Linked DNA regions of Oryzias latipes. The protein of the gene in region 2 interacts with the protein of the main gene of each other region in a pairwise test. Links are inferred from orthologs where the notes say so. Each region holds a gene or a part of one and is shown on either strand. Other genes may lie near its edges.

The links.
Region 1: the proteins of txn2 (region 2) and ppcdc interact in binary tests that used the Homo sapiens proteins (3 or more experiments, as listed by UniProt). The two-hybrid records come from large-scale screens. The link is inferred for Oryzias latipes from reciprocal best matches to the Homo sapiens genes TXN2 and PPCDC.
Region 3: the proteins of txn2 (region 2) and agtrap interact in binary tests that used the Homo sapiens proteins (3 or more experiments, as listed by UniProt). The two-hybrid records come from large-scale screens. The link is inferred for Oryzias latipes from reciprocal best matches to the Homo sapiens genes TXN2 and AGTRAP.
Region 4: the proteins of txn2 (region 2) and scyl3 interact in binary tests that used the Homo sapiens proteins (3 or more experiments, as listed by UniProt). The two-hybrid records come from large-scale screens. The link is inferred for Oryzias latipes from reciprocal best matches to the Homo sapiens genes TXN2 and SCYL3.
Region 5: the proteins of txn2 (region 2) and rbm45 interact in binary tests that used the Homo sapiens proteins (3 or more experiments, as listed by UniProt). The two-hybrid records come from large-scale screens. The link is inferred for Oryzias latipes from reciprocal best matches to the Homo sapiens genes TXN2 and RBM45.

What each region holds. Positions count from the first base shown.
Region 1 is NC_019864.2:16,648,796-16,654,983, forward strand, and holds the start of ppcdc (phosphopantothenoylcysteine decarboxylase), read left to right. Parts: upstream 1-2,226; 5' UTR 2,227-2,298; coding exon 2,299-2,442; intron 2,443-3,546; coding exon 3,547-3,642; intron 3,643-3,845; coding exon 3,846-3,974; intron 3,975-4,079; coding exon 4,080-4,248; intron 4,249-4,494; coding exon 4,495-4,596; intron 4,597-6,188. Other genes in the region: hacd3 (very-long-chain (3R)-3-hydroxyacyl-CoA dehydratase 3), read right to left, coding at 74-147, 252-294, 1,935-2,012. UniProt on the Homo sapiens protein: Catalyzes the decarboxylation of the cysteine moiety of 4-phosphopantothenoylcysteine to form 4'-phosphopantotheine and this reaction forms part of the biosynthesis of coenzyme A.
Region 2 is NC_019866.2:21,790,959-21,797,046, forward strand, and holds the start of txn2 (thioredoxin, mitochondrial), read left to right. Parts: upstream 1-2,225; 5' UTR 2,226-2,279; coding exon 2,280-2,342; intron 2,343-3,426; coding exon 3,427-3,704; intron 3,705-5,321; coding exon 5,322-5,445; intron 5,446-5,526; coding exon 5,527-5,643; 3' UTR 5,644-6,088.
Region 3 is NC_019863.2:32,258,553-32,263,620, forward strand, and holds part of agtrap (type-1 angiotensin II receptor-associated protein), read right to left. Parts: intron 3,253-5,068; coding exon 3,054-3,252; intron 174-3,053; exon of another isoform or gene 31-173; intron 1-30. UniProt on the Homo sapiens protein: Appears to be a negative regulator of type-1 angiotensin II receptor-mediated signaling by regulating receptor internalization as well as mechanism of receptor desensitization such as phosphorylation.
Region 4 is NC_019862.2:29,581,932-29,587,440, forward strand, and holds part of scyl3 (protein-associating with the carboxyl-terminal domain of ezrin), read right to left. Parts: intron 4,120-5,509; coding exon 4,063-4,119; intron 3,991-4,062; coding exon 3,888-3,990; intron 3,808-3,887; coding exon 3,696-3,807; intron 3,614-3,695; coding exon 3,536-3,613; intron 3,459-3,535; coding exon 3,319-3,458; intron 3,233-3,318; coding exon 3,042-3,232; intron 2,487-3,041; coding exon 2,315-2,486; intron 1,916-2,314; coding exon 1,775-1,915; intron 1,702-1,774; coding exon 989-1,701; intron 1-988. UniProt on the Homo sapiens protein: May play a role in regulating cell adhesion/migration complexes in migrating cells.
Region 5 is NC_019873.2:1,273,459-1,279,713, forward strand, and holds the start of rbm45 (RNA-binding protein 45), read right to left. Parts: upstream 3,972-6,255; 5' UTR 3,899-3,971; coding exon 3,623-3,898; intron 2,164-3,622; coding exon 2,041-2,163; intron 1,929-2,040; coding exon 1,802-1,928; intron 1,635-1,801; coding exon 1,515-1,634; intron 1,445-1,514; coding exon 1,274-1,444; intron 1,152-1,273; coding exon 1,022-1,151; intron 375-1,021; coding exon 281-374; intron 157-280; coding exon 1-156. UniProt on the Homo sapiens protein: RNA-binding protein with binding specificity for poly(C). May play an important role in neural development.

The DNA.
Region 1 (6,188 bases), on a different chromosome or scaffold from region 2:
ATGCGATGAAAATACAAAAAAGACTCAAAGGAAAACTATCATTAAAGTTGAGACATTTTAAGAGAACACATACCTCAGGCTTTACTGGAAAAAGAAACTCCAGGCTGAACTCGTACTCGTTTTGTCCTTTGGCACCATGACCTCGAGCTGAACAGTTGATAACACACAAAAAAAAAAAGGTCAAAGATTGTGTCTCTTTTTGAAGCACATTCTTCATCGGGTGCACACAACAACAAAAGACCTAATCTCACCTCTGAACTGAAGAACTTTGTCGTGCACTTGGACATCAATGTTCTGCAGAAAGACAGGCAGTTGGTAAGCATACCTCCTCTTCCAATGTGAACTTTCAAAGACCATTGGACTTTTTTTTGTGTACAATGCAGTGGATTATAAATGCATTCACTACAAGAAAAAAAAAGTCCATCCTCAAAAAATCAACTACCTTAACATACAAGAATACTCTAAATAAAAATATATGACAGCTATTAGTTGTGATTAGTTGCTTTGTTTCCCTAAAAAAGAGGCATTGTCCTCCACAACAGCTGTTTAAAAAAAGTTTAATATGTTTATGTGTTTCAAAAATTGAAAGTCCTTTATTTTATGGAATTATTACACAAATATTGAGATAATTTAAGCCATTATGTCTTTTAAGTTTGGTGATTATGGCCAATAAACAATAAAAACTTTAAATGTAGTTATAAGAAGATCACATCAGGCAGATTATAAAAGGATGTCTTCACCTTAAAGGGCAGATTCCTGAAACTGTGTTCATGTCTGACATATATAAAGAAAATAAAGCTTAAAATTGGATTTCTACACATTTCTTTATTCAAATTGTTGTGAATCAGAAGCAGACGAAAAAATGCTGTTGGAAAAAGCTTGTAGCAGTGACATAGAAGGCACAACTGTAAGCCATAAGCCCCCATCCGCCCCATTCTGAGGCATCCACTTGCAGACAAATAGATCCATGAACGTCTTTCTTTTCCTCGTCCGAGCTGGAATCAAAACGGCTGCATAGCTCAGATATTGCTTGCCATTTTTGTTGCACTGGTAATTGGTGCGAGAGGCTGTAAGCTAGTAAGCTAGTGGATAAACAGATGGATGACGGGAAAGGGGGGAGGTGTTGCTCTGCACCAACCAAATTTCTAATGAACTCCTGCCGCTCTGCAGAAACTATGTCACAGAAGAGGACACAGTTTTTGTTGTTGTTTTTAATTATTTTTGCCTAAACGCAGCATAATCATAGTTAATAGACAACTGGGAATGCTTTTACAATAGATCAAAAGATGTTAAGAGAAGTACTTTGAATGTTGATGTGTCTGCCTGTGTGTTATAAATGACTGTTTCAATTGTAGACTCCAGAAAACACATAAAATACATTGGCCATGATCTGAAAGAAGACTTTGGGCTTTGTTTCTGACATTTTCTCTGGTGAGAGGCTTGACTGAAGGAAAACAACATTTGTGGCCCATAAGTCTTCATCTGTGTGGTGATGGCTCCGGTTAGACTGACTGCTAACCAGATTCAGATTCTTGAATGAATGGATGGTGTGGCCTATTGACTGTTTTTCAAATGTGTGGCCCCAAGATAGGGGTTTGGAACCTGGTTTAACACAATTTCCTTAAGATTGAGGACTTCAGACTGATTGGCGCTCTGGGTCTGAATGCGTAAAGTCACGTGACTGACACTTCACGCTCGCGAACTCGACTCTTATCTTTAATTCGACCTATTATTTAACAGCTTTAATGGGGTTAACCTCCTCAGTGGCTGCATGAAAGATCAACACCGAGGACTAGAAACATGTAACATGATGTACGGAGAGCTTCACGCTACCTTCTAAGAATGAAGACCCTCTCCAAACGTATTCATTCATTTATTAAGAGCTCGGAGCCAACAGTGAGTGATGTCGGCGGCAGGGGTCGGGTTTCACTCACCTGAGCATCCGTGAGCTCCACTCGCAGGTAAATTTCCTCGTGACGCTGGGCCCAGTAAACGAGAGGCGTTAGCATCATTGTTGTGCTCGAGTCGTGTTTACTTCAATTAAAAGGTTCTAACTAAAAATCGCATAAAAGCGCGCTAGCTGCCAGAAACCCGGTCAGCTAATACCCAGAATATTCCGTCAGCGTGCGCGCTCTCAAAGCGTCAGTTTAAGCAACGTACTCGTGCGGGGGAGGGTCACGTGATACTGTCCTTCTCTCTGATTGGATGTTTGGGAATATTTACAATAGTATCATTGGCTGGTAAAAAAAAAGGGTGACAGCCAGTTCAGACGGGATGTTAGCTTCATCTTGAGCTAGCATGCAACAGGAGAAGCAAGTTTTATGTAAAACGGTCGAGTCGCTGAACTCTTCTGGAAGTTTCCGTGTTCTCGTTGGGGTGACGGGGAGTGTTGCATCGTTAAAACTACCAGCTTTAGTCGACCAGCTTCTTCAACTCCCTGGGGTGAGAAGAAAAGAACTTGCGTGTTGTTAGCCAAAAGTGCTTGATATTTAGCCTCTGGTGGAACACCCATGACAATACAGCAGACTTCCATTGTGTGCGTGGCTTCAGTTTTACCGCAAGATGGGGATAATAGACAGTCACTTGAAAAAACTGAACATCATCTGTATGAACAACAAAATATTAAATGTTGTTGTTTAGTTGCTAATAACATTCAGCAATCCTCGAGAATGTCAAGAATAAGTGTATTGATCCATATATCCACATGATGGAAGAAGATCTCTTTGACTAATTAAACTATCAATGTTTTTTTACCATATTAATTTATTTCATTTTTATATAGATTTAGCTATGTGGATTTAATTAATTTGACTAAATAGAAATTGGATTAAACTGGGGTGTATAGTCTGTAGTTCTGGTTAACTCGTAGACAGGTTTGTTGATGTAATTTTGAAACCAAGAAGGTCTCAATAAAAAAAGAACTATTGAGAAGTGAAACCTGAAACATCCGGTGGTAGGAGTCCGTCTGGGAGTTGTGAAGGAAAATGTTTAGCAATACACTAAATAAAAACAGTGATGGTACTGTTGTTCTAAACAGGAAGGTACAGCTGTGTGTCAATAAATGCAAATATTTCCCCCTGTTTTCCATTCACTATGTGGACTTTTGTCAACAGCCTTTTTGGGGGAAAGTCCCCCCCCCCCCCCCCCCCCCCAAAAAAAAAAGAAATAAATAGAGCCCAACCTATTGTCAATATTTTAATTTTAAAAAAAAGTATTGAAGCCTCCACAGAATATCTCGGTGTTGAGCACCAAAATAAAACCATATTCCACCAATGCATGAAAGCTAAATCTTGGAATCTTCAATGTAACGATGCACAAGAATTTACTTTATGATGCATACGTTTGCAACAAACTCCATTTAACAGCTCCTGCTGCAGAAAATGTGACTTTACAAGTCTGTCTTCATTTGCTGCAAGCTTTAGTGTGTCTAAAGCTTATCAGTTCCGTTCATTTTAACAGTTTTTTTTCTCAGAAGTTTGATTAAACGACAGACTACTTCCCTAAAAGAAATTATTGTGGTTTTCATGGTCCAGTTTTGTGCTTTAGGTGGATGTCAGAGTGGTCACCACAGAGCACGCCAAGCACTTCTACAAGCATGCAGAAGTGGCAGTAAAAATCTACAGCGACAAGGATGAATGGGAGGTAATGTTGGGATTGCCCCAAATGTTTTTTGACATTTTTTCTTGTCGTCTTTTCTTGAACACGAGTGAATTACTAAGAAATGTGGGGAACTGCCTCTAAGATGTGTAAATATTGTGAAATGCTGACGTCGCGTGTCCCCAAAGGAGCAGTGAAGAAAAAAGCGTCTTAGTGTTTGCTTGCCAAATATCCTGTTTCTCATTTAGCTCTGGAAGGAGCGCACTGACCCCGTGTTACACATTGAGCTGAGGCGCTGGGCAGACCTGCTTGTCATTGCACCACTTGATGCCAACACACTTGGAAAGATTTCTAATGGCATTTGTGACAATCTGTTGGTGAGGAAACATATGATCGGTCAACACAATTTGTCACACAGTTCACTAAGGTCCTTTGTAGATTTATGTGACTTTTATTTTTTTATTGATGATTTCTTTTTTTAGACATGTGTCGTAAGGGCCTGGGATACAAGTCGACCTCTTCTTTTCTGTCCTGCAATGAATACAGCAATGTGGCTGCATCCCATAACAGCCCAGCAGATATCCAGACTAAAAGAGTTTGGATACATGGAAGTCCCTTGCATTTCCAAGAAGCTAGTATGTGGAGATGAAGGTTGGTTTATTTTTTTACAAAGTGATTTCTTTGTTTTCTTTCCTTGCCGTATCAAATATGAGGTTATGGTGTCTTTATTTTGAACATTTTCTAAAATAACAATTATCCCTGCTCCCACAAATCAAAAGAGTTTCTCCCATATGTCACATTTTAAATCAACAAAGTTTGGTTTTATTTTACAGGCAATAAAACAGGAGGTCTTGTGCAGAAGCATTAACTACAAAAGTGTCTCTTTTCCTCCTTCAGGATTGCATAATTTCCCCCAAACTGTTGCTGTGCCAAACGATCATCTGAGCGTATTGCCTTTCAATCAGGAAGCCCCCAAAATGCCTCGGAATGTGCAGACAGGTGTGGATTTGCAGCAACTTAATACTTGCTGCTGATAAAAACCTATCCTGAAACCATAACAGACATCCATACAAGTTAAAAGAAAATGCCATTACTTGTTAAATTCACCTTTTTACTGGAGCAATCATTGCTGAAACTCCCACAGGCCTGCTCCCAGGCCCACACTTCCCTTTGCACAGGTTACATTTTTTAGCCATTACATACAGATATATAGTATTTCCTGTTTTACATATTTTTGCGATTACGCAATGACAGTGCGGTAGCCGCGCTGTCCTTCCCGCCGGTTTCTTCTCCTTTCAGACTTAAGACATCTGCAGTGCGACCCATCCGACTTCAATTATCGCACAAAGGTTCAACTGTTTCACAAATGACGTCCAGCAAGATCCCTGTAAACCCATGAGTTCAAGGCTGCAATGAAGTTTTTAACAAGTTTTTGATGAACAAAGTAAAAATGAGAAACTTTTTCTGATAAAGGCTGTACAAATACGGTAAACCTGTTGTTCCATCAATGTTTCAGTTATCCTCCTACATACAAAGAGTGACTTTCTTTGTGATAATTTGAAGCCCTTCATATAATATTCCTAATTTTGGATTACCTACATAAAACCTGTCCATCTATGCATAGTTAAAAGGCTCTAAAATGCTAAGGATCCTTTTTTTCTTGATGAAAAAACATAAAATGATTTTCTTTATGATAGTATTGAAAACTTCATTACTTTGTTTTACAGAAATATACTTTATTTTATACGATAATATGACAGTAATCATTTTCCCATTATTAAATATTTTCCAGTCAAAAACAGAAATATACTAGACACAATCCTCTTTCAAATGTTGTAGATTGAAGGCACTTAAAGTTTCAAATAATCTTAGTTTTCAGAATTTAGAAATTAGTCACAAAATATTTTATTGAGTGAGAAAACAGGTTTGAGCTGAAGCTCTTGGCGCTTGATTAAGGCGGAAGCTCATTTGTGAAATAGAGCCGCGTTTTCATTGAGATCGGTATCACATCTGAGATATTGATGGGCGTCTCAAGTTTGGCTTCATCTTTCACAGAAATCTGACAGTTATTTCAAAACAAAAATCATATCTACCGGTAGTCAGTTTTTCTATTGGTTCATGTCCAGTGAGGTTAAAGATCATTTTATAGAATAAATGCATTAAACAATAAAATCCTTTATTTGTCTATATTGTCTTTGCTGGAGAGCATTTATTCAAGTTGATCAGTTTTAAGGGGTGACATAATGCAACTTTGTCACTCTTAGAATTGGACTCAGACATGCCTCCAACTTTTTAATCTTCCTTTGCAGCAAACTGTCAACATATGGGACTAGTACCTAGAATTGGGTGGGATGTTTTTTCATATGAACAGAGGTATAAAACATGATGCATTAGCCCTAAATCACCTGTAAAGATCTACCACTAACTGCAGAAAACTCGGCGGACCTAGTTTCCCAACATTTCATCATTCTCCTCTCGTTAAATTTCCTTCATTTTGTTGAGGCTTGTTGGGCAGGAAAGAATTGTTCTGGTTTTACAAGTTTCCCTACACGACGGAAACGTCTCGAGACGTTTCACAGATTCACACAGGC
Region 2 (6,088 bases):
GAAGCTGTGTGGCTGTCTGAGGGGACACACCTTTCAGACATTACGTGGTGGTCGACGATGGTGCCTTTGGCATGACAGACTGGGGTGGAGGGTCACTCTTTGCAAAAACGGGTACTGAAGATTGTGTTTGAACTACAGAAGGATCCCTCTTTCCAGAGTCCCTGGGAAAGTTTTCTCCAGGAAAAGGAGAGGAGAAATTGGTCGAGTTAAACCTCTGATTCAGGAGGAACAGGGGAGTATTCAGCCCGGTTGTGGAACAGCAAATCAGCTTTGATTAATGGTTCAGGGTTCATGAGTTGTTCCTCATGGTGTTCTATGGGAGACACTGCAGGAATATACGGTCCTGGACCTTCTACTAATGGCCGTCTCTGTACAACCAGAGCAGGAGTTTGGTTCCCAGCTGGCATTGAGTCAATCTTGTTTCCGGTGCATGTTGGAGTCCAGCAAGGATGCCCTGCCTTTGTCAGGGGTCCAGTTTACAGACCCCGAGATTTCATCTCAGCGTTTTGCTGAATTAGACCCTTCAAAATCGAGACCATGGTTCTCACTCATTGACTGTATATTGAAATTATACCCGGGGTGGGCAAAGTACAGCCATGTACGGCCTGTCAAGCTATTTAATATGGCGCTGGAATAAATTATATTGATAGTTATCAATGTTTTATTTCCCATGTATTGGTAATTACAGGGAATTGGTAATTGGTGTCTACCAATGGTGTACAGGAAAAACTAATTGACCTTTGTGTGGGTGCAGAAAGATATTCACCATTCATGTGGTGTTGGAAGATTTGTTGTTTTCGATGTTCATGTGCATATTCCGAGTTGGACAATAATTTTTTTAGCCACACGACCGCTGCATTTCTAAGTTTGCATTATTTCCAGATGGACATAGACCTATTGGTGCAATTGGCAATAAAATGGAACAAAAGCCGAGGTTTTGAAATGAAAACTCCAAAATGCGTGGTTCGGACCTTGTCGCAAATTTTAGCACCCTTTGTGGGCCACGAGTCGAAAAGTTTGCCCACCCCTGCTCCATACAGTCAATATTCTCTCTAGAAAAAGGGGGGGGGGGGGGCTCTCTGGGTGGGTGGAGAGCTCCTGCCCCAATGGGAGGAGTTCAAGTATCTTGGGGTATTTTAAGTTTGGGTCACATAAATTATGTTGGGACTATGTGTCTCAGCTGGCCTGAGAGCACCTCCAGGTTCCTTCGGCAGAAATCCAAAAGTAGAAAAGAAGGTTTGCTTAGACTGACCCAGGTAAACGGAGGAGGATGGATGGATGGATGGATGGATGGATGGATGGATGGATGGATGGATGGATGGATGGATGGATGGATGGATGGATGGATGGATGGATGGACTTATTCTTGCTGAAGAAGGAAACAGACCTTTCACTATAATTTCCTGGCAGTTTACAAACCCCATCTTATGATATATCCAAACAGAAGGGTCGTTTCTGGTTAAACTAACTTAAATATTTACCTCTACTTACACTTGTAGAGATTTTTTGGGGCCTCTGTTACAGAGAATGAGAAGCATAACTTTACTGTCATCAGTTTGAGAGAATGTTTTGCTGTATTATGATTTTTTAATAACAAATGGGGCAAAATTAAATATCCAAGGAGTAATATCTTATGGGTATTTTTTAAAGCCACACACCACGTTTTGCTTCTAGCTTTGAATTTGTGCATGATTCATGTTGTTTTATGAATATTGGGTAAACAAAAATGTTCCTGTTTGGAATTCTGTAAAAGACTTTATACTTCCCTAATTTTAAACGGTGTTGTTTAGAGATTTTGAGTGAATGTTTGGACGCTGTAAAGATCAATTAATGGACTGAGCTAACGTTGTTGCACCACAGCCCTAAAATAAAATAAAAAATGTTTGAAGTTTTCACAATGACCAGGCGGGGGCGCCACTTGAAAAGCTGAAATGTTTATCTGAGAGAAAAAAAACGGAAGCACTTCATTGGTCGGGGAGGCCAAGTTCACGCGAACTACAGCACGAAAAGGTAAGAACAAGAAAATGTGCGGAGATGCTTTAAAACTGCGTGCGACACTTCCAAGACGAAGCCAAGCTCCACGTTTAGAGACCGGCTCGCGACAGATAGGAGACACAGCAGCGCGCGAGCTCAGGGGAGGAGGACGTAGAGGGCAAAGTCATACGTAACGAAGATTATGGAGGCAGAGAGCAGGAGGAAGGGGGAGCGTGAGAAAACCTTCACGATAAAAGTTGTGAAAAGAGATTAGCGACGTTGTACTGGATTTGTCCTGATTTTAAATGTTTGAGCGCGCTAAAATCGCACGAGACAGGAAAAATCCTGAAAATCGAACTGACTTGTGGGTAATTACACATGTACTTCCTAAACATTCCATTGATTGAAGTCACAAAATATTTTGGGTCTTCATACAATACTCCTAGTTAAAGGCAGGATCTCGGAAGCATTTTTGAAAATAATCTGTAAAGAAAAACGTAAATGAAAAGAGCTAATTATTTTCTACCAATAAATCAAGCATTTTTTATGATTGAAATAGTTCCTAATAAGACTGATGGCAGCCCTTGTAGTTGTACACATGTTCAGAAATTCAAATTTCAATTCTTTTTTTTTCCCCGTAAGTACAAATGAATTTCATGTAACTTTATTAAAACAGTTCAACTTTTTGTTTTTTTTTATCTCTGTTTTGTATTACTTTTTTTAAATTAAAAACATAGATGTCATACAGTAAATAATAAAAAACATTAGCTGTACATCAATTGTTCAAAGTACATACACAAAAATAAAATGATATTAAATTATAAAGCTGAACAAAACGACGTGTTTTAATTGCTTTTTTGTTTGTACTGGGAGAATGGAACGTGAGTAACACCTTAGTTGGGCCAATAATTTAAAAAAAATCCACAGCTCTTCAAGGATTAGCTTTACCATGTCGGCCTAATTTTGAAGCTAAGATGTTAAAACCACAAAGAAATCTGATTTACGACCTGGACAATTCAAAGTTCTATTAATGCAGTTTTCATTTGATTAGAAAAGAACTTCACATTAAAAGCGTATCTCTCTGTTATGATGATGAAACAAAAGGAAAGCATAAAGTGTCATTATATATTCTTTTATATAGGTTTATATATGTATTCAAATGTTTTTAATCGTCTAAAAGTTCTTTTCCTTTCTGCTCCTTTTATTTATTTATTTTTTTGTGAACATCCATACACACAGCACATTTACCACTGTTTGCATCAGCTTTTAGTCCTCCAGTCGAACATCTGCTACAGGGAATAAACAGTTCAAAGTCATACTTGTGCTTGCACAGTTCCAAAACATGCCTGCTCTGCATGGGAGCCCCGGTCTGTTCCTCCGTTTGCCTGAAATAACCTGAACTTGACAGTGAATTGTCTTTATTATTGTCCGTGTTTTTTGTGTGTCGCACAGATGGCTCACAGGCTCCTGGTACGTAGGGTCTGGACGTTGTCTGTCCAAGATATCCGCCGCCTCCCGTCGTCCGCCGCCGCCATTTCCACATCCTCCTTCTCAACCTCTCTGCAATCCCCGCCAAGCCGGGTGTCCCTCCTCTCCCCGTCACGCACTCTTCCCCGCACCCTCCATCAGATCTCTCGCAGGGACGTCTCCTTCAATGTCCAGGACACCGAGGATTTCACAGAAAGGGTCGTCAACAGCCAATTGCCCGTGTTGGTGGACTTCCACGCTCAGTGAGTACTTAAGGATAGCTGCTGCTGACCTCCTAAATTACTCGCCCCCCGGTCGGGCATCACAAAAAAAGAAAATAAATGGAGACTTGTCTTCATATCTGTTGCTTTGTTTAAGATGTTGGCTTCATCAGGATCCAACCCACAGGCTCTTCACTAAGCTGACATGTTGATGTGTCACAATGGGCCGCTCTAAATTTACTATCGGGCAAAGCTCCCACAGCAATTATACAACACACACATTTCAGCTTTAAAAGCCTCCCTCCCCAGGGCTAAAGCGGGGTATTTTTGCCGCCCTACTTTTGCGTTTTCCTCTCATACGTCATGTGACGGTTCAGTCCACTTGAATGCGGTCAGAGGAACTTGAGCTGATTTTTCTTTGAAATACGGCTAAAATACTAAAACAAGCTGTGATCAAAGATGGAATATTGGCAGACTTGTAGATTATCTGTTTCAGGATCAAATCACATTTAAATTAAGGAGCTTTGAATCCAAAAAATGATTTTAGACTATTATCACTTTCATACGTATGAATGTGAGAACCCGCTCGTTTTTGTGGGAGGGGCTTGTGCTCAGAGTTCAGGTTTTTAGACGAATACTCAGAAATGTGTGACTGAAGCAAAATATCGCTTTGGGGTTGTTGTTTTTGTGAGGAATGACCATTATAATGCATAATATAGGCCCTTTAACAGAGTTGTAACCAACTAACGTGTCTGTTGCTGTAAAAACCACAGTTTGAGCTTATTTATTTTTTTTCCTGTTGATTAAGCAAACATCTACCAAAACGTCCAAAGTGATTGGATTTTGATTCCCAAAAGTGGAACTTTCATCAAAGTCCCACTCCGATCATCTTTTGATGTATTTTCAAAGCCTCCCAGTGATCTTTTAATTATGATTATGCCATTTTATTTTGGCCAAAATGAATAAACCTGTGTCGTTTCCTAGGATATCATTTTCACAGAGCGGCAGGAGTTCATCAGAAATGTTGGCGCAGAGTAAGCCTGTCCCCTCTTTCTCTGAGAGCTCTTTGTTTACACTCTCTCCCGCTGGCTTACAGCCCCGTAAACCCCCAACGTAACATTACTGACTCAACATAGAGGTGAGCAATGTTGGAGCGATCCAGCCGTACAGTTTGGATCCAGATTCCAGCTCAGACGAGGAAAACAAAGACAAACATGGATCACATGCATCGGAATGGAGCAGTGAGACTGTGGCCCAGCCAGCATTCTCTCCATAACACGGATACAAACTTTTTCAAACATGTTTTGACTACGATTTGAATAAAAAAAGCAACAACTCAGAAATGCAAATTTAAGCTGTATTTTCTTTATGCATGTCCTCCATCATCAGAAAAATGCCACAAGAACATTTTCTTTGGAGTGAGTCTTTAAAGAAATGATGCATTTGAAGATTTTAGCTTTACCAACATGGTGTGGGTTTGATGAATCTATGTAGTATTTTCTAAATTAAAGATGGATTTCGTTTTATTTTATTTGTGAAGTCCAGCCTGAACTACAGCGGGCCTGTGAATGTGTAAAATGCCCCAGGGGGAACTCCGTCAAGCGTGTGCGGGCGCCGTGTCTGCGGGGCCGAGTGCACTGACTGCTGGTGTGGTTTCAGGTGGTGTGGCCCCTGTAAAATCCTTGGACCCAGGTTGGAAAAGGCCGTTGCCAAACAGAAAGGCCGCGTTGCCATGGCGAAAGTCGACATCGACGAGCACACAGACTTGGCCATCGAATATGGAGTGAGATTGAACTTTCTTGTCTGTCTTGTCTAAATAAGGAATTGCAGGAGGGAAAGCTGTGATGTGATGATGTGTCTGCAGGTTTCCGCTGTTCCAACCGTCATCGCCATGCGAGGAGGCGACGTCGTCGATCATTTTGTTGGGATCAAAGATGACGATGAACTGGACTCTTTTGTCAGCAAAGTCATTGGACAATAAACTGTGCAGCTGGCTTCATTATTTGTTCTTCTGGTCCCCCCCCTCCCCATCTACATTTAAGTCTGTTTAGCCACTGCCAGTGAAGGAAGTGTTGCTTCAGCCCCAGCGGGTTCACACCCATCCCTGGACCAGCTGCTTCAGTCCAGGTTGTGTCTCTCCTCTCCTTTGTCCGGTGATGGGTGTGAGCCTCCGGCTGCGTTTTACTTTAGGCTTTTGCTGCATTCAGCAGCCGTTTGTTTTCTCAAACAACGTTGACAGCTCTGTGAATCAGTAACAAATGTGAACGTGAGAAATGTGTGCTAAAGCCTGCAGACAGGAAAACAAAAGCTGCTGTGTGTACCGGGAGGAAAAACCCCCTTTATAGTTTCAGCAGAGGAGCTTGTGGGAAACGTTACTGAATGACGCTTTTGTCCACACGATGGCGTGGCGTCTGTCAAACACGGCC
Region 3 (5,068 bases), on a different chromosome or scaffold from region 2:
TTTGTCCTGCAGTCTGATCACAAAGCTTACTTCCGGGCTGAAGCAGGACCGAAGAGGACGACCCGGGGAGGGAACTGATAGAAAGGGGGAAGCCGGCGATCAATAACGGCGGCCAAAAAAGGCACTGTCGGCACTGTCCGTAGTGCAGCGACTGTCCACTGAGGTCTCTAAATCTGAGGGTTCGAGGGAAAGCGGTGGAGGAGAAAGAACAGAAACAAACCATCAAAACGTGCAGAAACACAGGAAACAGCATGACAGCCAAACAAAGACATGGAAAACAGACGACAAGGCAAACGCAGGAGCCGCAGGAAAGCTCACCTGACAGGCAGAAGACGGACTTTTCACCACATTCTGACCAAACTAAGCTGCTGCGTTTGCATTGCTGTTGGCGTCTACAAAGGTCTCAGGTAGGGGTGTGACGATAACCTCATCACCGCGGTGATGACCTCATCACAGCACCTTTTTTTAATTTGAAAGTTTTTATTATTTTTTTTCTGAAAGTTCTGCATATGATGATTGGAACTATAATTAAACACGTTCATCTTTGCTGATAATTTACTTTTTCTAGTCCTGTGTTCAGACTTCAAGGGTTTCTGGGGGGAACCTTTCATTTCTGTTTTCCTTCACTCCCTCTACGCTGCACGCGCTCACTCTACTCACACACACACACACACACACACACACACACACACACATGAGGTTTCAGCAGCACACACATCCTCATTCTACAACAGAAATTTCCTTCTCGCGAGGAAATACGACAAATTTACTGCGTTCTAATCATTAATTTCCATTGTATTCATTTCCATTACAAGCTGGGTGCGTTCTTGAGTGCGCGACATAGACGCCCGCCGGAGGATTTTGTGTTGGGGGGGGGGGGTTGTTACTGTTCTCCTTCACTCTGTAACACCAAACATGAACGTGCACCGTTAGATTTCCATGAATATCACTACATGTTTTGTTTGCGTAACGTTACGTGTCTGTATGAACAAAGGCGGAGCCTCCTGCCCGCGTTCTTCATGGATGTCAGGCTTCATGGCTACCAGAAAGGTGACAAAGTGTCTGCAGTCTGTTTATTACTGAGCAATATATAATATTCTGAGAAGATGTCCGTACCAGAGAGCACAGGTGAAACCTCACATGCTCCAATTCCAGAGCGGTCCATTGACTCTATAAGAGAACTGGACTGAGTGACTCTGCTTTCAGTGGAAGGGGTGTGGTCTTCCAACAAGCTCACTCCTGATTGGTGAGAATGGTTGCCATAGAAACAAGGACTCGGACCAATGGCTGCTTACTGATGACGTATGGCTCCAACATGGTGGCGACCACAATCACAAAACAATGGCGGCTGATTCGACTTCATTTGGTTGGAGTCGGAAGAGAAACATTTTCTGTGGATGACATCACACTCGCTCAGTCCAGTTCTCTGATACAGTCAATGTTCATTTCCAAGTATTTTCCTCTCTTCTCTGGTGTAAATTTAATCCTTAAATCTAGTTTTCTATCGTTTCGGTTTCTTCTTGTTGGCTTTTTATTCAGATGACTCTTCCTCCAGTTTTTCTTTGCACAAATATTCTTGCTTCACATTTTAGAAAGCTTTAAACGTTTGAATCCCTTTCATTTCACTTTAATTTTTCTCTGTGTTACTAAAAACAGAAAATTCTCTTTTTATTTAATTTTTTTCACAGAATGAGTGAATGTAGAATAAAAAGTTGTGTTTGTTAAACGATGTATGGAAAACGTGGACAAAAAAATAGAGAGAATGAGGAGGAGACGCATCAGAAAGTCGACGGATAAAAAAAAGGATTTCTGAGGAAAAGTATTAAAGGAAAACCTTTCTGGTCATTTGTAAAAAGTTCAAATGTGGGGCTTTTTGATTCACATCATTGCAGAAAAGAAAGGAATATTTTCCGTGATGTTAGAAGGGTTTTAGAATGTCAGAAACTGGTCCTCAAAAGTTCTCAGATAAAACTGGGATTCAACGGACCCCCCCGGGACAGTTTCACTTTTTAACCGGCTTCATTTTTGAAGTTGGAGCTAAAATGCAGCAGAACTTTAAAACCAGAGTTGATTTGAACTTTTTGTGACCGGCACAGACTAAAAACAGGAAAACCTTGAAAAAGAAACAAAGAAGAAACTTGAATGTTCAGCAGAAGTTCAGGAGGATTTGACTGATTACTTCAAGTTAATTTAAATAATTAGTTAAGATGATCAGACTTCCTGGATCAGCAGAAATCAGAACAGCTGAAAACAAACCAGTCCTGCAGACAAATTATTGTCGTCTTTCTTGGCTTTTTTAGACTCTTGTTTTATTGTAAATAACCTTAGTAAATATCTTTATCACTAATATTGTGCTTTTGTAATGTGTTGTAGATGAATTTGTTGAACCTTTCTGCCTTAGGACAACGGATGAAATGTAGCTCTTGTGCTAAAACTCTGGCATATTTATGCTGAATCTTTGATTAATATGCAGTGTCCCGATTCAAATAAATAAACACAATAAAAATAAAAAACTAATTGATTCTTGTGTTTTTTGGATGGTTTCCAAAACTGTGTGCTAACCTGAAAACAGATCATGTCCGATTAGATTAAACCTCCGTATTTAACATTTTTTTGTTTGTCTGATCAAATATAAAGACAATTAAGGTTGAGTTTGCTTTTCTGAGTATTTCTGGGGATCAGGAGCAGATGAAAAAATCCAAAGTTGTGACGTAAAAAATTCAATCAGCGATACACAAACTCAGCTAATGCTAGATTGGGGGAGGCTGTAAGTTAGTGGGAGAGAGAGTAAACCAAGGGATGATGGGAAGTTAGCGCAGGCTTACTCCGCCCAAAACTCGTAGACACGTTTCAAATGAATCCTTCCCGCTCTGCAGAAACTTTTGTCTAAAATGAAGTTTTGTTGGAGTTGAAGGAGCTGCTGAGAGGAGGAGGAGGAGGAGGAGGAGGTTTGTGCTGCTCCTTCAGGAAGAACATTTGCCCCGTTTGGAGGTGAAAGACTCCCGTCCTCCCAGAACCCTCTCTGATGCGTTTACCGCGCCGACGGGACTCACCAAAGTTGACGCTGTACTCGCCCCCCCGCTCGCGGTACATCTGGTACACGAAGAAGCAGGACACGGGTTTGAGCAGCAGGTTGAGGATGGCCATCCCCGCACTGAAGCGGAACACGCTGGAGTCGAAGAGGCCGGGGGAAAAGTAGACTCCGAAGTGGATGATGTCGGTCAGAATGGTCACCGTGATGCCCACCAGAAACTGCAGGGGGGGGGGGGGCAGAAAACGAGCAGAGGCAGAGGAGTGAGATCCAAACAGAAAGAACAGAACGTTGAGCGTTACATCGAAGGCCCTCCAGGAAAAAAGTTCCAGAATAGAGTTTTCAATATCAGAGAGCCACACCCCCGGGTGAAAACTCTACTTTCTTCTGGAACTTTCATCCTGGAGGGACTTTGATGAAATCTTTAACTGTAAAGTAGTAGGTAAGTCAAATTGAAAGAAAGTGAAATAAAGTACTATTAACTCCTTCACCGACAGATTAGACAGATTTCTGAGCCACAGAAAATCAGCTGGAGGTCAATAAGCACAACCACAATCAAGGCGCAGCCGATGAGAAACCAGATTTCTTATACTTTTTCATTTTGTTAAGCTCCCTATGGTTCAAAAAAATAAAATGCAGGTCACTTTATTAGCTTTGATATAATTGTGATTAGTCAGCTTTAGACATTTGTGGCAGAGGTGATAAATCGATAAATACTAAACGGTTTTCAATCCCTGCTGACGTCACACCACTACTTTGGCTGCTTAGAGATGATCAACAGGGTGGCTTTTATTTTGAAAGGATGTCATGTGAACAGTAGTTCATGACTTCCATTCACATTCATGTTTTATGTTACTTATGCCCCCCCCCCCCCCCCCCCCAAAAAGGTAACAAGAACACAAATGAGTGTCCTTCTTCTCTAAAGGGTGAGGCGAGACTTAGTGGCTCTGTAAGGGTTAAAGGTTAAACACCCCGCCCCCAAAGCCTCACTACCACAGATTTGAAGGCAGGCATGTCCAAAGTCTGGCTTGCAGGCCAAATGCAGCCTGCGTTCAAATTTCTACTGACCCGCTAGTTAGAAAATCAATGATATGCAGCCCCAAAGCCTTTTTGCGAACTGTGTACGATGTCTTGATTGTGATTGGCTAAATCACGTGATAAGCCGCTGTAGCTACAGCCTGCGGCTACTTGTTCTTCAGAGCCTTAAAGGCCGTCTCTGAAGAACAACGGGCTTTTTAACGTGTTCTTGTGGCATTTTTCTGATGTAAAAGAGAAAATTAAGATCAACATTTCTTTCCTGAGTATTTCTTTATTCAAATCCTTGTGAACGAGTCGTCAAAAAAAATGCCAATTAAAGACCATCACATAAATTTGTGGCGTAGAAAATACGCTGGGCGGAGCCACAAGCTCCCTTTTATCAACGGGGAGGGGAACGGGGGCGGAACTGCTCTGCGCCAACAGGCCGGACCTCAACTCAGAGGTCAATTTCTAATGAACTCCTGGAAAAGGAGACAGGTTTTTGATTTTGGCCAAAAACGGCATCATCATAAGGAAAAGACCACTGGGAACGCCTTGAAAACAGATCCGACGATGATCAGAGCGGGACTTGAACCACCAACAGAGGGGTGTCTTCCCACTCTGAAGCAGAATTTCCTCCCTTTGCCAGAAAATAATCTAATTTCAAGAGAGCAGGCGGAGAGAAAGCGGCGTTTGCCGTTAAACCTCCCAGCTTCCTGCTCAGCGTGAAAGCTGAAACTGGGTTTTTATTCCCAAGTCCTGAGTTCTCACTGTTTTACGTTCACCTTTGATGGTGACCCTCTCTACTCTCTGCACATCATCAGACTGTGGAAGATGAACCTCGATTGAAAGTAAAAGCAGAATGAAGCGTCATCTTACACTGGAGGGAGAAACAGAAAAAAGAACCAGAAGGAGCAGCAGAAACAGCACAGTTGATGCTGTACTGCTGAATGAAAATGAAACTTAAAGGGGAATAATTGGCTAAATAAATAAAAAAAGGATCAAAGTTTTCCATAAATA
Region 4 (5,509 bases), on a different chromosome or scaffold from region 2:
TTCTGTCGCTCAGCCTGTTGTTAGGTAGTTTGGACCAATGGGGTTCAGCTATGGGCCGAATAAGGGAAATGGGAGGGCTGGAGCGGGAGCAGGGGAATATAAAGTTGGGAGAAGCGCTCTCTCTCGTCTCGTGTCGACAGGAGAGATTCAGGAGTTGCTGAATTAATTTTACGGCGTTTGTTGTGGTCTACAGTAACCAGAATAAAGAACCTTAAAAGAGGTTAAGTCTCCGTGCCTCAGTGTGGGAAACTCTACATTATTGTATGGCTCTTTCGAAATTACATTTAAAAATATGTGGCGTTTATGGCTCTCTTGGCCAAAAAGGTTCCCGACCCCTGATATAGGGTGTTCGCCATTTTGCACTGCTGTCTGAATTCCAGTTCCAAAATCGAGTGCTCTGGAAATTTCCCAGTAGTCCCTGCGAAAAACCAGTGTGCATCGATGGTCACTAGATTGGTGAATATGGACCACAATGCATTGCATTTGAACTATTTTTTCAAAGAAATGTGTTTTTTAAATAAACCATCAACATTTTCAACTTCAGAACCCAGTGGATTCATAAATAGCCGTAAAACGCTCGCATCAATTCAATTTCAACTTCAAGAAATCGGTGACATCATACTTGCAGTTAAAAAAAAAGTAATTAGCGAGCATGGTGTCTAAAATTGCTTTTAAAATACAGGGACTTAAAAGGTGCTTTTTATTCAGTGCTGTAGTTAGGGAGGAAATTCAGACAGGTGGCGAACATCCTTTATAGTGCACTAAGTACTTAAAGACGCAATGGATGTGCATTGTTTGACAGAATGAGTTTTTGTTATCTTGGAGTTGACACGTACACCAGACTGGTATGTTTAGAGGACGACATGCAAGATTAAACATGCAACAGAGTGAATTGTGACGTATGTTTGGTCAGTTTCTGGTGATGAACACTCAACCATCACCGGGAAACAGATCGTCAAATCAAAAGGACCAAAACATGGAGACTGACCTCGGGGAGGTCAGCTGCTGCAAACTTAGCCGTGAGCATCACAGCACTGATGGATGAATCCACCTGCAGAGGTTTAGCGGGTTCTGCAGGAGGCCCCGGGCCCTTAAGGTTCTCCTCAAACGGCAGTAGAGCTGGAGACGTCAGCTTGATGTCTGGCACCATGTCTGCAAACAAATCCATCTCCGGGTCTTGCTTCACAGTTTTCTTCACCTTGATGGTAAACTCCTCTCCAAGACCCACGCCGCCTTTGATTTTGGTGGCTGCGGGTTTGAACCCTGAGTTCTGTGGTTGTTGACAGTCCTCTTGAGTCCAGGCGTCATCACAGGAGGACGTTCTCCTGCTCTGGGTGGACTGTGCCGAACTAAGCTTGAGAGGTTTGGAGGAGTTCGCTCGGGGTCTTTGGGGCTCCTGCTTTGCAGATCTGCTCTCTCTTGAACCCAGAAACGCATCCGATGAATTCACCGTCCCCCATGGCTGCTCCCCTTTATCTTCGTAAGCGACGACTCTGCTTCCAGAATCAGCCTTTTGGGACGCGTCAATGTGGATCTGGACTGACTGGCCGTCCTTACTTTGACCCTCCTCCTGGTCGCTCCAGTCAGGCCAGTCTTCCACGGAGGGCTGCTGTCTCTCCACCTGCTCTGGCCTGCAGGACAACGACCTAAAGTTCTCGTGATGAAAGCCGTTCAGAGCTAGAGACACGTGTCTGCTGCCGTCTGGAACACAGAACAGGATCGGGTCAAAGCTACGATGCTGCTTCTTCAACGCCGTTCATGCCGCAGGCCTTACCTGGAGGTGGAGCAGTCCCACCCTGCATCTCCAGGTTCCCACCCGAGTCTGAAGCTTCCGACGGCCTCGGGAACAAATGTAATGCTTTGGAGGGCTGCGCCATCTGGGGGTGAGCGTCTCCAACGATGTGAACAGGGGAAGCTACGAGATGAAACAAGGTCATAGTCAGCCAAATTGAGATTACCCAGAATGCTCCTGCAGATTAACGAAGTTATACGACTTTAAATATTAACTGTAGGTTTTTCTGTAAGTTCAGATGCTGAACTAAGACGAGATCTTCCCTCCTCTCTTAAATCATCACTTCATCCATCAATCCAACCTTTAAGCATCATTCCTGTTGGTTCTGCAGCTATTTTAAATTTACATTTCATTTGAACAAACCTGCATTTCATCTACAACATCTTGAAAGTCTTCTGGACCACGTGGACAACAAAAGATCTCAAACGATGAAGGAATGTGTTAAAAAAAAAAGCACCTAAGCAACCGCATTGCCTTTCTAGAGTACGACTGTTTCTCTCCAGCATTTGTGGGCGTTCTTACTTTCAGGGGTGACGTCTGTTGACTTGTTAAATCCGGGCGTGGTGCGTTTGAAGACCTTGGTTCTCTCTCCACCAACAACCACTTGAGCCCCCAGCAAAGGCACCAACACAGCCAGACTCTGCAGCGTCATGGCGACCAGCGAATCGTTGGTGTCCCTCATTCCTAACAGAACCTGCAGCCGCAAAGGAACATGTTAGAGAACCGTACAAAAATGAAAAAAAAAAGTGAGACGCTGTGGCGTCCCAGGTTACTGAAAAGATAAGCATGTAGACCAAAGGTTTTGATTTCTACATTTTAGTGCCTTGTGCAAAAATAAAAAAGCTGTTTTTAGTATATTTCCAAGTTTATATTTAAGGATATTCGTTATTAATATACTTGTATTGACTATTTTAATACTTTATTGTAAATTCCTTGTTTTTAATTGCTAAATGAACTTTTTCATCCTATAAATACATTCAGTTTTTTAAAGACTCATTCTGATGAAAATGTTTTTAAATGTTCTCGTAGCATCTTTCTGATAAAGGAGGTCACAGATAGTGAAAATTAAGCTTAAAATTACATTTGAGTATTTCTTTATTGTTGTAAATCCGCATCAGATGAAAAAATGCTGTAGGAAAAAGATTGTTTTTAGAAAATACGCCGTGCGTCTTTTATTGCCGTATTTAAAAATCGGCCGAACGGAGAATCCAGATTCTTATTTCCTCACAGCTGGACACTGAAACTTCACCTGAGGTAAGATCTGGTTTCTGAGCTCGTCCTGGGAGAAGAACTCGGCGTAGATGTGGATGTGGGCCAGCAGCACAAAGCGGACGTGCTCCTCTTTGACTTTGTAGAGTTTGAGGAGCTGAGGAAGAACGTGTTTCCGGTAGAGAGACGCAGACAGCAAGCAGTCTTCATGGCTGCCTCCTCTGGAGGGATCTGCCCTCAGAAAGAAATCAAAAGTTCGGCTTTCTTTCTTCCTTCCGCTGAGAGATGAGAAGCTTTATGAGAAAACACCGCCTCACCCATCTTCGGCCTGAGCAAATGAGGCAGGAAGCTCTTGACAGCCATGGGTTCTGCAAACACCAGGGAGTTGAGGAGTTTGGGAGCAAGGCGTGTGGCTATGAGTTCTTCAGGAAGACTCTGGACCCGGTCCAGGAGAAACCTGGACACAACAGACAGTGTTGGAGTCGACGATGCATAAATGCAGTAAACAACAACGCAACCAAGCAAGTCGTTTACTTGAAGAACTCATTTTTCTCCTCTTCTGTCTTTACGGTCAGACTTTTTAGGAAGTTCATCACTTCCAGAAAGTCATTCCTGTTCAGAAGAAAAGAAGTCATTTAGGAGAACGGGGTTGGTATATAAAAAAGGATTTAAGGAAAAACCACAATCTGCTGACCGGAAAAAGTCATGAGTCAGCAAGGAGCTGAGAGGCGGTCGAGCCACGGGGTCAGAGTTTAGTGGACCTGCCTGCAGAGTTCTGGTTAGGCCCTCAGAGAGCTCCTGGGAAACTAAAATACAATCCAAGTGAAGGATTAAACAGCCTCAAATGTGGGTCACAACACTGAGGAAATGGAACGGCGGAAGATACCGTAACCGTTCAGGAGAGGAACGAGGGCCTCCATCATCACTCCAAAGGAGTAGCAGTCCCGAGCGTGGCCGTGTTTGTCCGGGAGCGTTTTAAAGCCCTCTGCCTGTGGGAGACGTTGGGTCAAAAAGGTGAAATGAAGGTTTCTCCGTCTGTTCTTGGTGACGAACTCACTGACCTGCTCTTCTGGGGGAATGCAGCTGGCTTCCCGTGCTTTTTGGAAGCTCTGGAGGAACTGGGAAGATGAAGGAAAGGAAGTCATGTCAGATCATTTCAGGTACCGTGTTTTAAAAAACCAAGGACAAATAGACTGAGACGCCGCAGCATCTTCTTCCCCAGAGCTGTAGTCTCCGTGACCCCCCTGCTTTCTACCTCCCACTGACTTAAATCTTATTCATCTCAGACATCCCTCAGTACATAACACCACTGAATGTGCAATAAAGCTGTTATTTATCATGACATTTTAAACTTCTTAACGTATTTTCTGTTTTTTTTTTAATTCTTATATTGTTTTTTATTCTTTGACGTTTACTTCTTTTTGAGTGAGTGCCAACAGAGTTTGGATGTAGAAACACAATAACAATAAAAATCTTTGAATCTTTCAATCATTTCAGTGTTTTGAAAGATTCATGGCTGCCTCTAAACCTCAGTTTTTTTCCCAGCGTGGGAGTTTTTAAGGCACTCATTGCTGCAGAAAGGTTTCCGCCATATTGGAGGGTTTTGGAGTTTTTAAAGATCTTCTCAACCGAGTTAAGGTCGGGAGTTTTATGAGGCCACTGGAAAGTCCATTCACTTTCTGGCATTGAACATCATCATTGTACTGCATTTTCAAGAGCCTTAAAACAGCGGACCCCGAGCCGCGGACCAGTGCCGGTTGGTGGGACAGTTCGTACCGGGCCGCAGAGACTTGGGTCACGTGTCAAAAATCCATCTGCCGCTTTCTTAAAGCGGCTGCTACGGCCGCTAAATTGAAACCCCCAAAAACAAACATATTTAGAAAGTTTCATTTGGCAGAAAAGAGCCGGAGAGGAAACGAAAGAAGAGCCTTCGACTTCAAAGTAAAAGACAGCAGCAGCTAACAGTCAAAAACCTGGATTTTTAACTCCAAATATGGATTCATTGCGACAGTTGTTACCACAGACCATAACTTTCCTTTTTTTCCCCTGTGCGCCTTAAAAGTCAGACGAGGCTGAAGTTGGCGTCTGATTTATTTTTTTAAGCCTCCACTCAACAGTTATGGATCATAGGAAATCTGTCATATTTTAATGGTTCCTACAGAAAATGTAGGATGAAGATACACTTTACCCTCAAAAGTTTAGACAAATTGGAACCTGGAAAAAGAATAAATAAATAATTAACCGTCCACTTCAGCCAGATGCAGGCCAGTCCGAGAAAAAAATGCCAAACATTATAGCAGTAAATGGCCTAAAAGGGTTGCGGACCACTGCCTTCAAGTTTGAAGTCAACAAGATGGAGAACTTTCTCCTTTAGGCATTTCAGGCAGACGGCAGAGTTCATGATTCTGGATAACAAAGCAAATTTTCCAGAACAGAAAACAGACTCAACCACTATATTTTTGACTGTTGGTGTGGTTATCTTATTTTGAAAAGCTGTGCTACTTTGGC
Region 5 (6,255 bases), on a different chromosome or scaffold from region 2:
GAAGACGTCCTCCAGCACATCAGGGGGCAGAGGGGACGGGCTGAACACCACAAACAAGCGCTCCTTGGTTTTACTGTCGGGGGGCGCCAGCTTCTTCAGGGACGGCAGGCTGACGTCCGTCTGGATACGGGACATGGAGGGCGACGGCGAGAAACTCTGCCAGGGAAAACGCAGGCGTTCATGCCGGTCTGTTCTCCAGTGGTGGAGATGCAGACTTCCAAAATACCCCCCCCCCCCCCCCCCCCATGTACGAGGGGCAAACTTCAAAGCCGTTTCTCACATGAGGTTTCAGCATTTGGCTGCTGGACGCTCCGTTCCACACAGCGGACATCATCTGAGCAGCAACAAACTGCATGGCCATCCGCCCCACCGAGCTACAGACGGAAACACACGTGAGAAAACCTCAATGTTCTGTCCGCAGCACACGGCTGGGACACGGCAAACATGCCGTATCACGCCTCACCTTTTCTGGTTTTTGTAGATTTTTTTTGTTTAACTTGGCATCCCTTTTTTTCAGTTCACTGTGTTCTGATTGGCTGTTGGTTGTGGTCTCTTGTACAGAGACGTGAAGGTTTAAACGAGAGAAGAGTGTGGAAATGTTCATGTGTGTCGGATAAACGTGTAGAGCGTGTGTAGTGTGACGTCTTGTGATAAACCAGGGAACACTAACTCAGTTTTGTCGATTTGCTTAAACAACTGTTGTGTCCATAGTTCCTAAAACAAAGCGTGTGTGTGAGTCCTGTGACCTTCTGAAGCCCCCTCACACTAATGCGTGCACTTGACCCCCCCTCCCCAGAGGTAACTAAGGGTACTTGCCTAGCGACGCTTCCACATGACAGGTAGCCAGGAATAAACCCAGCAGCCCTACAGCTGGTCTGTGGCGTGTCTAAAGTGACCTTCAAGGCTGGTTTCATGTTTGCAGTGTTGAGGACGGCCACTAGAGGTCGCCCTGTTCACCCAACGATCACAGTTCCTCCTCCAACCCCACCTTTGGGCAGTGCTGCTGTGCAAGTGTGCCCACCTGCTGCGGTCCTCGCCATCATCTAGAAAGTACACCACCAGTCTGTTGCCGGGCGGATACTCGAAGCCGTTCAGTTTCTCTTTGGCGTAAAGGGCAGAGCCAAGGTTACTGTAGCGGATCATGGCACAGCCTGCAAACATTCCAAGATCAGAACCGCCGTCTGCATGTTTGACGTGTAAACGCAGAGTTCTGGCAAACCCAATGGGAACCAAAACCACGGAGGTAGAAGTTCTATGAAAGATCGGGTCTCACCTTTGTTCATGCCGTACGAGTCTCTCTGCAGCTCGCAGTACTCCATGCCGGGAATGAGGTCGAACAGAGCGAAGACCTGCTCCTGCGTGAGCGCTGCCCGCGTGGACACCATCAGCGCGCGCGTGAAGTCCCCCGCGCGGCTCTCCGGCACCGCAAAGTTCCCAGGGTCTGCTGCAAAGACGAACGCAGAGATCAGAACCGGAGGCTGCGTCCAGCCTCTGCTGCAGACGCACCAACAGACCTGCGTGAAAGCCGTACTGGTTGGCCGAGTCTCCGCCGTACTCCCCTCTGCTCCCTGCGCCGGAGTAATCCTCAGAGGCGTTGGATTTGGAGCGGGGTTCGGCCAGGATGGCCCTGTACGCTGGAGAACAGCCATCAGAACAGCAAACGTCTGCTAACTAATAATGAAATGGGATTTTCTAAGCAGAGACACCACCTTCAGAGCCAGAGGGCTCTGCTACGTCACTACTGATGGCAGATCTGCCTTTGGAAAGCCTTTCTGCTGAGGTTCAGGACTGCGATGCTCACATTTGTCACAGTTCTCTATAGCGATGGCAGCCTGGGAGGGTTTGTAGTATCTGACGTAACCGAGTCCTTTACTTTCCCCGGTGAGTTTATTTTTGATGATGACGCAGTATTCAATGTCTCCGTACTCCTGGAAGACAGACAGGAACCATGCAGACCCAAGACCTTCATCCTGTCCATGGCTAAGCCATGTTCAAACACGAGGAAGCACACACGTCTCTGCATTCAGCTGCTGCTCTTACTTTAAAAGTGTTTTTCAGGTCTTCCTCTGTGAAGGTTTTGGGTATCATGACGAAGATCCTGGTAAGCTCCTCATCCTCCACGTCTCTGTGTCTGGTTGAAGATCGAGACTGAGCGATGAAGACCTGCCACAAGACAGACAACGGTGTCATCGAGCAGACCCATGAATGCTCGCCGCAGGAAGAAGGTTGGAAACGAATCAACAGCTCTCTGTGCAGCGTTCCTTTGATCACATTTCAACTGAACATCAATTTATTTTCAACTCCTTCAAATGATTTGGCTTTGGAGAATGTTTCTGTGATGATGTTAAAATGGTAGCAGCTCTGTTGGAATGAGACTCAGCTCCACTCCTGGATGTGACCTGAAGCGAGGCGTCGGCCGAGGACGCCACATCCACCGTGTGCTTCTGCACTCTAACCCTTCCACCGACAGAGTCTACCGTCATTCTACAGGAGCTGTGAATGCTCAGGAACATGAACGCTGGTCAAGAACACGGATCATCTCATACCTGATCAAATGACAATGTCTGTGCGAACAAGTTACTTCTCTTCTGGATGTGGAACTAACGTAAAAATATGCAGATTGTTCCAAAAGACCAATGCCTTCCCTCATATTTTAACTTATTGGAATCCATTAGTTCCAGATATCAAATGCAAAGTGGTGTGGATGATCCCTCCTCTTAATAAATAAGCTAAAAGAATTAAGTTTTAAAATTCTCCATTAAATTGACCCTACACTACTTGATAACATCTAACAAAGACACTAATAGTAATTGTAGTTTCTGTGGATATCGTTCAGAAACTGCAACACTTTAATAGTTCGTCCACACAAATCTAGGAAGGAGTTTAGGAGATTTATCTTCATTCGTGTCTTAAAATGTTTCTCTCTGAGATGGGAAAATGTGTTAAAAAGCATAAAGTTTTTTTTAATTATTTTATTAATTCTTCTGGCGAAATTCCACCTACATAATTGTAAATATAATAAAACACCATTCTTCCCCCAATTCATTAAAGATGTAAATGTTTAAATGTAATCAACCTGCCTGGCTGTGTGATATTGTCTATGAAGTGTGCATCGCATCGGTTCTCTCGTGTTGTATATTTGCATTTTGTTCAATAAAGTTTTTTTTTTTTAAGTAGGGGGCAGTAGACGTCAATGGGTGACGTCAGAGATGCTTCGTCCAGTAATATATTTTTTGATTTGAAATTGTCTATTTTAAGCAATTAAAGCAGGAATAATACAAGAAAGAACCCCATCATCAGTTTTACATTCGTACAAAGACGAATCAAACTTAGGATAATTATACATTCAATCAAAGATTGCTTGAAGGGAGGGAAGGAAGTGAACTTATGTCCACCCCTGTTCTACCGTAACCATTTATGACATGTTTTATCATTGTCCAGTTCATAACATATGTCTATGGTTGCAATTTGTTGATTTAAAACACTCCTATCCTTCCTATAACCACGTGCGCGTCCCTGCTCCACCTGGTTGTGCTGTGTACGCACGCGCCAACACTTCGTTAGCAGCTAGCATGTTAGCTGGCGCTCGCGCGGCTGTAAACGGCGCCTGGGTCGGCCTGACCTTGATGGGTTTGCTTTTGTCCGACAGCATCTGTCCGTGCATCTCCTCCATGGCCGCGCAGGCCTGCGAAGATTTGGCGAACTTGATGTAGGAGATGCCTTTGGACTCCTTGGTCTGCCGGTCTTTGACCACCCAGACCCCCTGGATGTCTCCGAATCTGGAGAAACGTTCGCGGAGCTCATCTTCGCTGATGCTGCGGCTCGTGACCAAGAACAAACGGCTGTTGGGCGGATCGTCGAGGTTTTCAGGGACTTGTTTGGAAGGATAGTCCTCCATCTTGTCGCATTCAAGAGGGCTGCTGCGTTTAAGTGCTCCTCGTAAATGTTAACTTCCGGGTTGAACTCTTACAAAAGAGCTGTGATACTGTTTCATAAAGAGCTGCTTGCACTCGCGCTGTTCCAAAGCCTTACCTTAAATGGGAATTCTCACGATTACGAGACTAGAGTAGATTTCTCGCAGGAGTTTATTCATCTTCCAAACCAAGGCTGAAGTTTTCTGTTTGTACAGAACTTATGGTTGATCAGAATCCTTTATTGCCATTTTACATAATATTCATTCATTTTCTTAACCGTTTTTCCCTTTCTGGGTCACGGGGCTGCTGGAGCCTATCCCGGCCACTTGTGGGCGAAGGCAGGGGACACCCTGGAGAGGTCGCCAGGCTGTCGCAGGGTAACATTTTACATAATAATACAATGAAATGGTAGCTGCCTTGGAGTATTAAGAACCCTGAAAATCTAATCAAAATACGTACAAGAAACAATGAAATAATATTGCTGTTGTGCTTAGAACCTTCTCAAATATGATTAAAAGTAGATTCCATAATTGCAGAGCCTCACTTCTGCTCCCATCACTGACCTGTTTAACATGAAAATGCACATTTTTGATGATGATTCTCCAAACATTGGTGGAGGTATAAAGCTGTGAACGTGTTTACCACTGTGTGGAGGATGGAAAGTCGGGTAAACCATCATAAACTCCAACAAAAAAGAAGTTACCAGAAGTTATCATTACATATAATCGATGTATTTCTTTCTTGAATTCAGTAGTTTAAGAACAAATTCTTCCTCCCTGAAATATTGCTTATGACAGCAACCTGACTAAAGTAAAATCTTCCTAGTTACACAAACGTGTCTTTGTGTACACATCACGGCTCTGGTTCAGGACTGCAGCTGCCTTTTTGGTTGCAGGGCATTTCTGTCAGGGATGTTCCGACCCGGACAGCAGCAGGAGGGAAAGAGGGTTAGTTTGTGGGCTCTGCTGACTCTGACCGGCCGTCCTCCTGTGGGGGACCTGTGGTCCATGAAGGTTCAGGCAGGGGCATCTGTCCCCCACCCTGTACTGAGTCACATCAGGACAGAGCTGGACGTCCTGCTCCAGATTATCCTCACCTGTCTGCCATGCTGCAGCGGCTGATGTCACTGCAGTCCCTACAAACACAAATCCTTTCACGTTCCATCCAACATTTATGAAATATGATAAAGAAGTTCATCATAACTGTGGACTTTTTCCATGTTGCGTTCACTTGTTACCGAGAGCTCTTGAATGAAGTCCCTTCTGTAAAAATGTGCATTTTTCTGAGCTTGTTTTGTTTCTGTTCTGACTAATAAAACATGCTCCCTCCTAAAGTCCACTACGCAACAATTCATGCCGATTTTCCGATAACTTCAATAGAATTGACATTTTATAACAACCCGGCACTTTTTAACTGGAAAAAAGTAAAACCAAGGAAAAGAGGATTATTTTATAGGCTACACTGAAATAAAAAATACACGTTTATGTTTTAGCTGCGTTCAAATGTGTTATAATTCGGAGATAACATTTACCTTTACGGATATAACATGAACTATAATAAAAAGTGAATGTGTGCTCATCGCTGCAGTAAAACTCCAAATGATTTTTGTTTTTTCGTAAGTTAATATTTATTATTTAGCGACAGAAACATTATAGTTTGTATTTGAATCTCCAGCTGGAACAAGAGGACTCCCTCTCCCTCTCAACGCGAGTCGCTCTGCCTGAAGTTTCCGAGGCGTCCCTGAAGCAGCCCGGTGGACTGCTACGTTGTGCGTGATGATGTCAAAGGCAGTTGCCGGTAAGTAGAGTGACCTTCGTAGGACCGTCAGAAGCGCCGTCGGCTCAGAGGGACGCTCGGTTTTCTTCAGGGCTCGGAAGCTGCAGGTAAACGTGTCCCGTTTCCCCACAGAGAGAGGAGCGGCGCTCCGTGTCCGTCCGGCGGCCGCAGAGCAGAGGAGCGGCGCTCCGGCGACCTCCAGCTACTATCGGCGGCGCCGTGACCGTTAGCTGCCGTTGCTGCCCGGCGAGCGTCTCTGTAATATTTGAGAAACGCGGCTGAAGAACGGCGCCCGTTTTCAGGCGTCCATCATGATGCTCAGGTTGGAGATCCCGTCCGGAATCCCGTCCCGCCCGAATCGGCCCGCTTTGGTCTAAACAGCCCGGCTCCAGCGAATCTCTATCAAATATTATGACGGGACTTCTCTGGAATCACTTAGCGGGATTCTTTTAAAGCACGCGCCGTCAACCTCACCGGGACATAGTGTCCCGGTAAATTTACCGGTACATAGTGTCCCGGTACCGGGACAGTAATTCACAGGATTACAGAAATTACCCCTTAAGTC